Drosophila melanogaster: one gene and its partner. The protein of the gene in region 1 purifies or fractionates together with the protein of each later gene. This does not show direct contact. Each region holds a gene or a part of one and is shown in the gene's direction. Other genes may lie near its edges.

The links.
Region 2: the proteins of SoxN (region 1) and Rtel1 purify together in Drosophila melanogaster (affinity purification with mass spectrometry, with the first as the bait; one large-scale study listed by BioGRID). This does not show direct contact.

Annotation. Positions count from the first base shown.
Region 1 is NT_033779.5:8,823,557-8,830,314, forward strand, and holds SoxN (SoxNeuro), read left to right. Parts: upstream 1-2,088; 5' UTR 2,089-2,937; coding exon 2,938-4,656; coding exon of another isoform or gene 4,657-5,223; 3' UTR 5,224-6,114; downstream 6,115-6,758.
Region 2 is NC_004354.4:5,746,084-5,752,715, forward strand, and holds Rtel1 (regulator of telomere elongation helicase 1), read left to right. Parts: upstream 1-1,663; 5' UTR 1,664-1,785; coding exon 1,786-2,835; intron 2,836-2,910; coding exon 2,911-3,458; intron 3,459-3,653; coding exon 3,654-4,317; intron 4,318-4,378; coding exon 4,379-4,521; intron 4,522-4,765; coding exon 4,766-4,895; intron 4,896-4,980; coding exon 4,981-5,190; intron 5,191-5,258; coding exon 5,259-5,471; 3' UTR 5,472-5,994; downstream 5,995-6,632. UniProt on the Drosophila melanogaster protein: A probable ATP-dependent DNA helicase implicated in DNA repair and the maintenance of genomic stability. Acts as an anti-recombinase to counteract toxic recombination and limit crossover during meiosis.

The DNA of each region.
Region 1 (6,758 bases):
CAAAGCCGTCTGAGTGTCTACTCGTCGCTCATTCTGGATCCGAATCAGAATCGGAGTCAGAATCAGAATCGCAATCCGAGTATGAGTCTGAGTATAAGTCTGGTTCTGTTTGGTTTTTCGGGTTTTGGCTTGTTTTCCCATTTTCAGCAAAATACTTTTTGCGGAGCAACAGTCTTCCCATCAAAAGAATCAATGCCTCGTACTTGTACTCGTACTCATACAATAACAAAACAAACAGGCAGGCCAAGTACATTGATAATGAACCGAACAGAATTGTATTTCTTTTTCTGCATTTTGTATTTGAAATTACACAATAGCCCCCATAGAATCAACAACGACTTTGACTTATTCCTTTTCTTTGGCCAACTTTTTGCGGTTAAGATTTGCGTTCTTGTTGTTTTTGATGTTATGATGTTGCGTTGTTGTAGGTCAGTTACTGGGGCAGGTTTTGCATTGTTTGCCGGTCTTGCCTTTATTATTGTGCCCGCTTGCCCCAGTGTTTTCGCTCCATTGTCAAATGTTTAGCAATTGGCCATAAATTCATTAAGCCGACGAGCCCACATATCGGCTTTGTTTGCATTATACATTTTTAATGGGTTAGTAGCTCGATTCAAGTGTTTGATGACTTTGCAGGAAATTTGGAGACGATGCTTAAGGAGTTGTACAAAAGAAATTTTGATTGTGCTTTAAAGGGAGAAAATGTATATATATTATTTATCGAGGAAATGCAGTTTTTCATATAATTTGTATTTTATTTATTCAAGAACAAAAATGGTCTTCTATATTATTCGTAGTTTACGGATGCAAAAGTATGTTTTATTTTAGCCACAATGGTATTTTTTTTATTTAACACACAATTTATAATTAATATAACTTTTAGAAAAGCCCATAAATCTTGGTTTTGCTCTTCGAGTGTGCAAAAAATCTTCAATTAATCGACTTCCACCTGCACTGCAAGTTGGTGAGTAGTTCTCACCAGCTGAGAACTGCAATCCAATCACTTTGCACTGCTAAAAGTCGCACAAAAAAAAAGAGCCCAACATTTACTCATGGGCAACCCAAAAAACGGAATACCAGAGTCAGCTGAGGAAAAACGCATTCATCGCGGGGTGGTAAATTAAAGGGGGGTGTCGTGGTGGGGCAGATGGTGCCCTAAGACAATGCCGTAGGACGGGCTGGCTCATGTGGCGGATACGTGATACGTGTAAGCCAAACCGCATCAAAGTTCTGAGATACAACTGCCGACTACCGCGAGAGCAGGATACATTTGCAGCTGCACTTGCTTAATAAATTTTTCCATCTGCCGACTGCCTGCCTACACAATTATTCGTGAGCTACCTTGGCAAACCCATTAGGTTAATAAGAAGCGCAGCGTAAGACGCAGAGTGACTATACATACATATATATATATATATATCTATATTATATATCTTTTTGTATGTACATATAGCAGGGCCAAAAAAAAAAATAAAAAAGGAAACCAGGAAAAACTATGCGCGTGAGACGCGCTCTAACGGCGAAAACGCCGCAAACACTAAGGCCCCTGGGTCCCTGGATCCCTGGACTGGGTTGAGAGTACCCATGGCCCGCTCCAGCTCCCCCCGTCCATAGCGTTTCGGCCATGTTTAAAGCTCGAAATTTATACGAGAAATTCCTTCAGAGTCTCTTTCGGCAGCGGAAAAGCGGCAACAGCGCTTGCCATAAACGCAGAGACGACATTTTTATGGCAGCGTTGAGCGCAACGCGGATCGATATAGTGACGGAACGAGATAAAGATACATTCGTACCGCTCTCACCGTCCTCTGATTGGCGGAGCAGTGTGCGCAAAATCCAACCCAGCCAGCGCTCACCGCACACAGATGCACACATGCACAGCAGCGAGTTTATTTGATTTATTAGCAGGCCAGCCACTCGTATATTCATCTCGCTCCCGCACAGGCGACGGGCAATGGAAATGCCGACGCACACTTGGACAGCAGCGACGCACACACAGCTACTCGCGACTCAAGACCAGTTTTTCCAGCCACCCTGTCTGGCGGACCGCACCGCATTTACCGCCTCCTCGAGCGGCCAGCGGCAGACGGTCTCTCATTCGACTCTCGCATTCGCCGTCGTCAGCACACGCGCACGCAACGTACCGCACGGCAGTCGCAGCACGCCATCAGCAGCAACATCACGCAGCAACATCAACTCGGTTGTTCGCTGTCTCGAATTCGGTTTCGTGTCGTATCGTATCCGTATCGTTTCGCATCGCATCGCATCGGTGGTTCTGGTTCGTGCCTCGTCATCAGCTAGCCAAAAAGCGGTGATACGAAAGAAAGAAAAAAAAGTCATCATACAGCCAGGGAAAAAGCAGCGTAGAACGCACCTCGAACAGGTTTCGCCGTCGTCCGGAGAAACAGAAAGGTGCTCAATTCCGCCCAGTGTGGAGGTATTTTTTCGGTGTTCCCGCTTCTCGCATACGAAAAAAAAAAACAACAACCAAACCAAACCAAATATATTTACAACAAAATCTAATACAAACAACAACAATATTCTGAGGCAATTTCGCGTCGGGTTTTAGCAACAATTTTCAAGTGTTTTACGCCGCCTCTTGTTTGTTTGCTAGCAAACAACATATATGTATATCTGATATTTGTGACTGTGGAAAAAACGCAATTCAAGCTGTTTAGCTACAAATCCAAAGATAGCCGAGCGCCACATTTTTGATACGCGTAAAGATACGAAAAACTACGAAATAAAAACTGCAGCGAAAATCAAAATCTCAAAAATCACAAGTGCAACATGGTTTCCCAAAAAATGTTCAAAATGTCTAACTAAGCAAAGAGTAAACTAAAGCTAAAGAGTAACTGCATCTTAGAGGCGAGTATCCACGGAGAACCAACTTTGAGTCAAATCAGCTTTATCGCACCGAAAACTGGAAGTAATCCCCGCAAGATGCTGACCATGGAATCGGATATGAAAGGCAGCCTGCTGCATGCCACCATGCCGCCGCATCACACAAGTGCCGCGTTGCACGGACATGCGGCATCGCCGTACTCCGCCCTAGCTCCCCTTATGAACCTGGGCCAGTCGCACCTGACCCACTCGCAGCTGAGCCATCACAACCACCATCATCACCACATGAGCGCCCATATCGCGGCCAGCCAGAGTCCCAATCCGCTGAGCTCGCTGCAGTCCTCGATGGCGAACACCCTCAATGGCAGCCAGGTGGGGCAGCAGCAGCAGCAACAGCAGCAGCAGCAGAGCTCCCCGCTGCACAGCTCCAGCGAATTGAGTCCCACCCAGAGCAGCATCGGAAGCCATCACATGACATCGCCGGTCAGCCACCAGCAGCACACGCAACAGCAGCAGCACGGGCAGCAGCAGCATCTGGGCGCGGGATCTGCATTGAGCAGCCTAACTGGAGGATCCAGCAACAACAACAACAACAGCGCCACGGCCAACAAGAACCAACAGCACGCGGATCGTGTGAAGCGGCCTATGAATGCGTTCATGGTTTGGTCACGGGGCCAGCGGAGGAAGATGGCCTCGGACAACCCCAAGATGCACAACTCGGAGATCTCGAAGCGACTGGGCGCCCAGTGGAAGGACCTCTCGGAATCGGAGAAGCGACCGTTCATCGACGAGGCCAAGCGCCTGAGGGCGGTGCACATGAAGGAGCATCCGGACTACAAGTACCGGCCGCGCCGCAAGACTAAAACGCTGACCAAGACCAAGGAGAAGTACCCAATGGGCGGCCTGATGCCCGGACAGACGGTGGGCGGCGGAGCACCGGGTGAGCCGGTGACGCCCACGCGGGTGCAAGGTCAGCCTGGCCAGAACCAGTCGCTAAACGGTAGTGGAGGCAGTGCAGCAGCGGCAGCGGCGGCGGCAGCAGCGGCAGCGCAACAGGCGCGCCAGGATATGTACCAGATGAACGCGCCCAATGGATACATGCCCAATGGCTACATGATGCACGCAGATCCGGCCGGAGCGGCAGCCTATCAGACCTCCTACATGGGCCAGCACTACGCGGCGCAGCGGTACGACATGGGACACATGTACAACAACGGGTATGCGATGTACCAGACGGTGTCCGGCGGACAGACATCGCCGTACGGCAGCAGTCTCCAGCAGCCCGGATCACCGTCGCCGTATGGCGGCAGTAGCTTGCAGCAGCAGCCCGGCAGTCCGACTCCGTACGGCGGAGGTGGAGGCGGTGGCGGTCAGGTTTCCTGCCAGAGCCACAGCCCCAGCGACTCGAGCATCAAGTCCGAACCGGTGTCGCCCAGTCCCAGTGCCATAGCGCTCAACAACAACAACAACATCAACAACAATCACATCATGAAGCGGGAATACAGCTCTGCAGCGGCGGCAGCAGCAGCAGCAGCAGCGGCAGCAGCCGCCGGCGGCGGCGAGCTGAATCACCTGATGAATATGTACCATCTGCCGGATGAGCAGCGCCACCTGCTGCACTATCAGACTGACTCGCCCGATCTGCAGCAGCAGCACCAGTCGATGCAACAGCAGCAGCAGCACCTCCCGCAGCAACACCTTTCGCAGCAGCACCAACAGATCCCGCAGCAACACCATACCATGCAGCAGCAGCAGCAGCAACACCACCTGCAGCATCAGCAATCGCTGAGGGCGATGGCGCCGCTGGCACACATGTGAGAAATGGCCAGCGCCTATGGAGCAGCAGGCTCCAGTGTGAGCGTTTCGCCTCCACTGCCGCCGTACATGCCGACGGCCCCGCAGCAACAGCAGCAGCAGCAACAACAGCAGCAACAGTTGCTCAACGGACGGCCTAGTCCGACGGCATCGGGGTCGTCGGGCGGCCGCTCCTCGGCGCATTCCAGTGGCCATACCGCCGCGCATTCACCCGCCTTGGCAGCCGCCTACCAGCTGACCCCCTCCGCTGCCACCTCCTCCGCCACTTCGGCTGCTGCTGCGGCGGCAACTGCTGCTGCCGTTGCTGCTGCTGCGGCTGCAGGCAGCTCCTTTGCCGCCTCGGCCAGCATGCTGGACATGCAACAGCAGCATCTCGAGGAGCAGCAGCAGCACCACCACCTGCACTACCAGCAGCAGCAACAGCAACACTACCAGCAGCAGCAGCAGCAACAGCAGCAGCTGCAGCACCTCCCGCAGCAGCAGCAACACCAGCTGTACCATCACTATCATCCTGGCCACGAGGCAGCGGTGGCTGCCAGTGCTGGCCTCCTGGATATATCCACATTGTAAATTATTGAAAATATTAACTAAAGCCCTAGGATACGCACACCCACGCCCACAACCACAGCCACACACACACAGACACAATTTTAGCCTTAGTTCTTAAGCAGGTTTAATTCGAATTTCGAAGTGGCAGAGTAACACATGCGCATATAAATAAATGAGAATAGGATTAATGTTTAGTCATTTAAATGATGCATACGCACTGTTGTACCACAATAGTAAGATGACAACTCACTTGCATTCCATACCGTTCTGCTTCGATTTCCCTTGATTTCCCGCTTGTTGCATAGCTAAAACAATTGTGTGATACAAATAAACTGTTGCCAATTACGGGGACAACGGCAACAACAACAAATTCGTTTGGTTTAGCATTTCATTTCCACTCACCTTTTGCTGTACAAAACATTCTCAGACATTAAATGTGCGTTCAATTGAAGGGAGCAACGGGACGCGGAATCAAGCACAAGTTTAGTAGGAGTAAAGGCAGTTGTGGCGAGGCGATGAAAATATTTCAGAAAAGCAAAGAAAAATGTCAAAAAACATTCTATTTTATAAATTCTCTTATGCATTAAGTAATTATAATTATTATCTATTATATAAACAATTTAATTATTAATTATGCTTACAAATACCAGACAAGACAACCATAATTAATTGTAATAAAGCGAAAACAAAATTATTATTATTATTAAAACATAAATCGAATCGAAGGCAAGCATCTACTGCATAATACAAACACAACCAGAGAAAATGTTAGTAAACCTAAAGCAAATTTAGTAAAAACAAACCAAGAAGCAGCGTGCAAACGTGATTGTGAAACATGGCGCAAGGCAGCGAAAACAAACAAATCCAACAAAACATTGCCAAGCACCTGGAAATAATAAAAACAAAATCCACAAAAAATCCACGAAAAAAAAACAAATAAAAGAAAAATCTTTACAAAAACATCTCGCTACATTTTTACTATTTGCCGTCGGCAAAATGGGAGGATCCGTGAATTTTGCATACCGAATCGATATGCAGGTTCAGCAATGTGTCAGATGGCTTAAATTCCAGTTTGGATTTTATAGCTCCCCCCATTTTTAAGTGGGATGCGTAATTCCTTAGACAAAAGCGATTAGAGTAGTAAAAATCAAATGAAATTCACGCATTGTCAACATAAATAAAAATGTCATTAAACAAACCCTGACAAATTAGAACAAAACATGAGATGAGATTCCCATAAAAATGGTATGCCATCTACATTTATAAAATCCAGCCATGGCAATTATTTGGGAACTTCATGTGAATCGCATGCTGCAATCTGGCATTTCAATATTTATTTAAGTGCATTTTGTCAATGAGTAACTGCAATTTTCGTGACCGGAAGGCGACGCTTTGTAGCCAACACCGTCCAAACTAATTCCACCGATCATGCATCAAGGTTGAAATACAATTATTAGGAATTTTGATAATGCGATATATATCATATGCCATATTTTCAGAGCCGCTCACCAGACCCAGATTGTCCAATCACTCGGCTGTCGCGACGGTGAATGGGC
Region 2 (6,632 bases), on another chromosome or scaffold:
GCGGTGTGTGATTTATCGTTGATCTGGCAACCCTGCTCCGACGTGTTGGAATGGTACGGGTGGCTGCGGGGGACGAGTCGGCCTATTGTGTTTGATGGCAATCCACAAAGCTCACACACACGTTTAAACCAAAACGATATAGGGCCGAGCACTTCAAGTAATCGAGTTTTTTCCGTCTAATTAATCTCGGCGCAGCGATGTTTTGGCCAACAAAATGACACGGCTCTTTGTCGGAATTCACTTATGCAGCAGCGGCAGGGTTGTCAGAGCTCGAAAAACGGTGAAGAAATAAACACACTTTTTCTAGTTGTTTCGCATAAATGGGGGGCGGCAAAGGGGTGCAGGGCCTTTGATTGGTGGTCATTTTTCATTTGGATGACCTTAATTTGCATGTGATAATGCTGATTAGTGCAGCCGCGTTATCGGCACGGTAATCGTTATCGCCAGAGTTGCAAGCGCCCGCCCATCGACAGCCCGCCAAAGCTTTCGAATTTGAAAATGTGTGGACATATTTTAAAAGTGCGATTCTAAGGATCGCATGGTTAATATTTTAGATCTAAATTTTCTATCTCAAAAAAAAAAAAAATGGTACAACATTCATACACAACTACACCGGCAGCATCTTCGAGTGAGAGTTTCCGGCCAAAAAAAAAAAAAAAAAGAATAACTAAAACAAAAACGCACTCACAAGAAGAGGAATGTTTCTCCTCCACCCAATACTCGCAATAATTTTCGATTAGCTTCTATATGCCGCGCCACGATTTTTTATTCTGTTATATTTTTACTTTGTGCCAACAGAAATTTATCACCACCGCGCGAGAGAGCGAGAACACACACGCACACACACAGCCAGAGTGCGCTCTCTTTCGCTCTGCCGCCGAGGTGCATAGGCGAGAACGACCGACAGACGCGACTAGCGGTCGGACCGACCGACCGAACGACCGTCGCTATCGCCGTCCCCCTCTCGCTCGTAGGTTTGTATCGGGGAGTTGTTGCTTACACGCACTCGCACACATACTTTTGCACACTGGCGCCTCGTCACTGTTGTTGCATTGCTGTCGTCCACTCCTGCGCTTCTTCTTCTCTTGTTCGACTCGCTTCTCTTCGGATTTTACTTTGCTGCCGAGCAATAACAACACAACACTACCGTTCTCAAAGTTCGAATGATTTGATGCCGTTCTGTGTTTTTTTGGTGTGGCCGAGAAGCGCCAAATCAGTGGGGCCGTATCGCGGCGATTCGGAAAAGCCGAGCGAAGGGGTCACGATAAATGGATTTGTGGTTGAATTAACTGAGTTTGTAATAATTGATGTCAAATATTTACTTACCTTGTTAGGGGATTTATATGTATGCTGCACATTTAATCTTGAATGCCATTAGTTCATTAGTTTGGTATAATCCATAACATTCACTTAAAATGTTATATCGTTAATCTTTGATCCAAATAAACAGAATCACAACTACAGTATTCCCTCCAATGCTAATAAGTTTATAAGTTTCAGTTACTATTATCCATAAGGTACCATAAACACGATTGCAGCACTTTGGGTGGTGATTAGTACTACTATTACGTTTAAAATAAACTACGCAGGGTTTGACATGCAAGTTGTAAACATTTGACTCGGAGTTCAAGATAACGCTATAAAATTACTTAATCAGGGTCCACTGTACTCTATCGATAGCGATAACTGACCACCTACACAGACATTTATTGTTATCGACCAACGAACACATGTTCACTCCGATTTGGCGCGTAAACAAGTAAATAAATAGTATTATTAAGAATAATGCCGGAGAGCCTGATCGCCGGCATTCCGGTGCACTTTCCGTTCGAGCCGTACCCGGTTCAACGGGCGTACATGGAGAAGGTGATCCATTGTCTCCGCGATGGCACGAATGGAGTCCTGGAATCGCCAACCGGCACGGGCAAGACCCTAAGCTTGCTGTGCTCATCCTTGGCCTGGATCCGCACCAGGCAATCGGAGCACCAAAAGCAGATGGTTAAGATGGAGAAGGCAGATTTTTCGGGTCTTGGAGGCGGAGCACCTGGGGGAGACCTGTCCGAGCTGGCCAAGACCATGGGTCGTGCGAATAACTGGGGCGTGCCCAAGGTCATCTACGCCTCGCGCACCCACTCCCAATTGACGCAGGCGATGCGGGAACTCAAGAGGACAGCGTACGCTAACATGAGATCCGTGGTTCTGGGCTCCCGCGATCAGCTATGCATTCATCCGGAGGTCATGCGGGAGCAGGGCAACTCCAACAAGACCAACATGTGCAAGCTACGGGTGCACTCCAAGACCTGTTCATTTCAAATGCGCGTTGAGTCGCGAAAGGATCATCCCGATTTGCGCGGACCCACCATCATGGACATTGAGGACCTGGTCAAGGTGGGCCAGCGACTCAAGATCTGTCCCTACTTCGCGTCTCGGGAGTTGGTTCCCCAGGCGGATATCACCTTCATGCCCTACAATTATCTACTCGATCCCAAGGCTCGCAAGGCCAACAAAATCGAACTGGGCAACACTATTGTGATCCTGGATGAGGCCCACAACATCGAGAAGATCTGCGAGGAGTCCGCTTCGGTGCAGATTAAGTCCTCTGATGTGGCCATGGCCATCGAGGACGTCACGCATATCATGCAAGTCTTTGCGAGCGGCGAGTCGCAGGATATGGCTGGAGATGAGCCAAAGGACTTCACACTGGACGACCTTACACTGCTCAAGGAGATGCTGCTCGAGCTCGAAAAGGCCATCGATGCCATCGTTGTGGACAACGCCGTCGATGGAACTACCTTTCCCGCCTCCATGATGTACGAACTGCTTGGCAAGGCGAATGTAAGATGCACTAAATCTTATCGGAAATGTTTTTAAAAGAATGCCTATTTAAAAATGTAACTTCCTTTATTGTAGTTCACCTACGGCAACGTTGCAACGATAGTATCCCTGCTGGACAAACTGGTGCAATACCTCCTAGTGGCCTCCCAGCAGATGAGCATCCGCAAGGGCGGCACCTTCACGTTGCTTAGCGATCTACTGACCATTGTGTTTGCCAACAAGGAGGATGTGATGAGCAAGGTGTACGCAAGCTTCAAAGTGCATGTCCTGGTGGAGGAGTCCAAGCAGGGACACGGTAAGCAGCAGGGTGCTAAACAGCAGGGCGGTTGGCTTGGCAAGGGAACGATTGCAGCAGCGACTGGCTTAAGCAAGGTCGCAAAAATCATTAACTTCTGGTGCTTCAATCCTGGCTTCGGAATGGAGCAACTGCTCAACACCCAAGTGCGCAGCGTAATCCTGACCAGCGGCACACTAGCTCCCCTCAAGCCGCTAATCGCCGAGCTTGCCATTCCGGTGGCCCAGCATCTGGAGAATCCGCACATCGTCGACCAGTCGCAGGTTTATGTCAAGATCATCGGCACCGGACCCGATCGGCAGCAACTGATATCGAACTATGCGAACCGGTAAGCATTTTTCACACCACAAGCTTATTTGTTTATGGCCAATACCATGAGTAAATAAACAAGTTGGGCCAAACATAACTCAGTTCTGTGGCAGGTGAACTATCTCATAACATTACGAAATGCCAACGTATCAATTTCTTAATGTTATACAAACTAAACAAACATGTTTTATCTGCCACCTTTGTTCTTCTGCAGTGATAATCCAAAGTACATCAGCTCCCTGGGACAGACGATTCTGAATGTAGCGCGTATAGTGCCCGACGGCCTCCTTGTCTTTTTCCCATCGTATCCCATGTTGAACAAGTGCGTGGACGCGTGGCAGGCCAGTGGTTTGTGGGCGGACATATCGTGCAAGAAACCGATTTTTCTGGAGCCGCGCAGCAAGGACCAGTTCACCAGCACGATGGAAGAGTTCTACCAGGCGATACGCGACTCCAAGGGTGCCGTATTCATGGCTGTTTGTCGCGGCAAAGTCTCCGAAGGTCTGGACTTTGCTGATCGCAATGGCCGCGCGGTGATTATTACTGGTCTGCCATTCCCACCGCTAAAGGATCCCAAGGTGATACTGAAACGTCGCTACCTGGAGGCGAATCGGACTCGTGAGAATCAGCTGTTAAGTGGGCAGGAATGGTACAATCTAGATGCCACGAGGGCAGTCAATCAAGCCATCGGTCGTGTGATTCGGCATCGCAACGATTATGGTGCCATTCTGCTTTGCGACTCGCGATTTAAGGACGCCTCACAGGTCCAGCAGCTATCCAAATGGATTCGGGGTCACCTGGGCGACCGGCCACAGTGCTCACCCTTTGGTCCTATCGTCCGGGAACTGCGTCAGTTCTTTAAGAACGCCGAAGCGAATGTAAGCTCATGATGTTTATGCGTTTTTCAGCAATTGTAATACAATTCTTTCAAAACTTCAGATGAAACTACCGGATGAAAGGGAAACCGATTCGCCTTTGGAAACCGTCTGCAAGACAGAGGATGAACCACTAGCCGCCATTCCAAAAGTGAAACGGGAGCCTGGCTCCAATGCCACCTTCAAATCAGCCAATGAATCCGCAATGTACGTAACCTGCGATCTAAGATCAACCTTATCAGCTGTATAGATTGTATTACAATTATTAATAGCAAATCCTTAATCGGATTTAAGTAGTCTTGAGTACAATTTTTGAGATTTGTCATAGCTAAAGTGAAATGCTGTAAGCCATTTCCAGTGGCCTTTTGTCATCACTGCCAGGGTAAATAAACTTTCGTTTGCCTTTCTCCTGGTATTGACACTTTGAAATATTTATTATTTTTCTTTGTAGCAAAGTGGAGATGGCCAATTCCATCAAGACATGGACACCCGCCGATTATGCGAGTGCCGCTGGACATAAATTGGGTGGTGCGGCGCCGAATGCCATGGACTTTATGAGTCGACTGGACTCAAATGTCTCGGTAAACACGAGATTCCCATGAATCTATTATTACACTGTGTTTATTTAGTTCTTTAGGACTTGTTCTTGTTTTGCCCCTTTCCCAGAGTATCGATTTCAACTGCTGCACAGATAGTAAAAGTGGCTCCTCTGGTCTGGTGAAGATTCACAAGCGGGAGCGAAGCTCACCAACGGCGCCGGAATCCTCCAGCCAGGTGACCAAAAAGCGATACAAGTTGGTGGAGAACATCAAGGTGGAGCCAAGTAGTTCGCAGGCTAAGGAGGCACCCGAGGAAAGGGCCGCGTTTCTCCGGGAGGTGAGATACCTTCGAGACTTCTTCCATACTACTACTACTACTACTAATTAATTTACCTTGAATTGCAGCTACGCAGCCTGGTCACCCAAGATCAATTCCGCCGCTTTGGCAAGGCGCTGCTGGAGTACAAGAATGGCACCTATGAGAGCTTTCAGGCCCTGATGGCCATACTCCTGGATGTCCTGTCCGCACCCAAAGTGCGCTACATGCTCGTCGGGATGCGGAAGTATCTAAAGAACGAGCACAAGGACGAGTTTGATCGTAGGGTGGGCAATCTTTAACAAAGGGTTAGGTGACTATGTAAAAGAGTTTTCAAGTTTAGTCGTCCCAAGGATATGTTATTTTTTTTTTTTCAAATTTATTGACATTGGCTGTAATTTTCTGATTGTATTTAGTGGGGCGCGTCTAATTCTCCTAAGAATATATATTATTAACAATGCTATGCATTGTTGTACATGCATTTTGAATTTCTCTGTACGGATGTTTATTACTATTAAAAATTATACGTTAATCATGATATTGTTTATAGCTTTGTGGGAAAATGTGGGGTCATATTAAATGCAAATGCAGTTACTCAAAACCGTTTGCATTATGTGCATTATGTTTTCCCAATCTGTTTATTTATTTACCGCTCAAGGTTGACTTAAATCAACAGTCTACCTTTATTGGAAATTTAATACCACTTTTATGTGCATCAAACTTCGATTTCGTTTGCTGATAAGCTGATGAGCTTTAATAAGCTTTCAATCAAATCAAAGGCGAATAGAACAGGGTGCTCGAAAACTCTTCAAATCTTACATATCGTATTTAAATATGAACTCAATTTGTATAATAATATATATATATGTACAATATATGTTTATTTTATATATTTTTAAGCATGATAAATAGATAAGATATCATAGGAAATTGACTAATGCTAAGACTTTTAAGTTCTTGTCTTAAAAACATAAAATTACTTTTTTGTAGACTGCTTACATATATGTTTTTCACATTTATTTTTTAATCTACCGCTTGGGGGGCATACATTTTAGAGTTGGCAGCCCGCTTGGTAACAAATCTGCGAACCGCAGCCAGCGCAGAACGCATCCAATAAGTTCATTGCCAAACGGGCCGAGTCCCTATATGCACATCCACACATGCCCATCGGCTGGCGCGACCGAGTCACCGAGAAAACTGAGCCCGAGTGCAACGAGAATGCGGGTCCGAGTGGCTCCGACTTCGGACTTGGGAAGGCACTCGCGTGGCAACAATCGTCCAGGGCGCACGGCAAACACGCAGAGCTGCCGGAGGAGATAGGCCGCTGCTTCTTGGGGGCCACATTCGTACCCCGATCCAAATCCAGACCCGCTGATCCATCCGCCTCATAAATACACACATAATTTCTGCCGCTTTGATTGGGGCACGCAGTAAGTTGATTGCAATTGCAATTGCCATAGCCT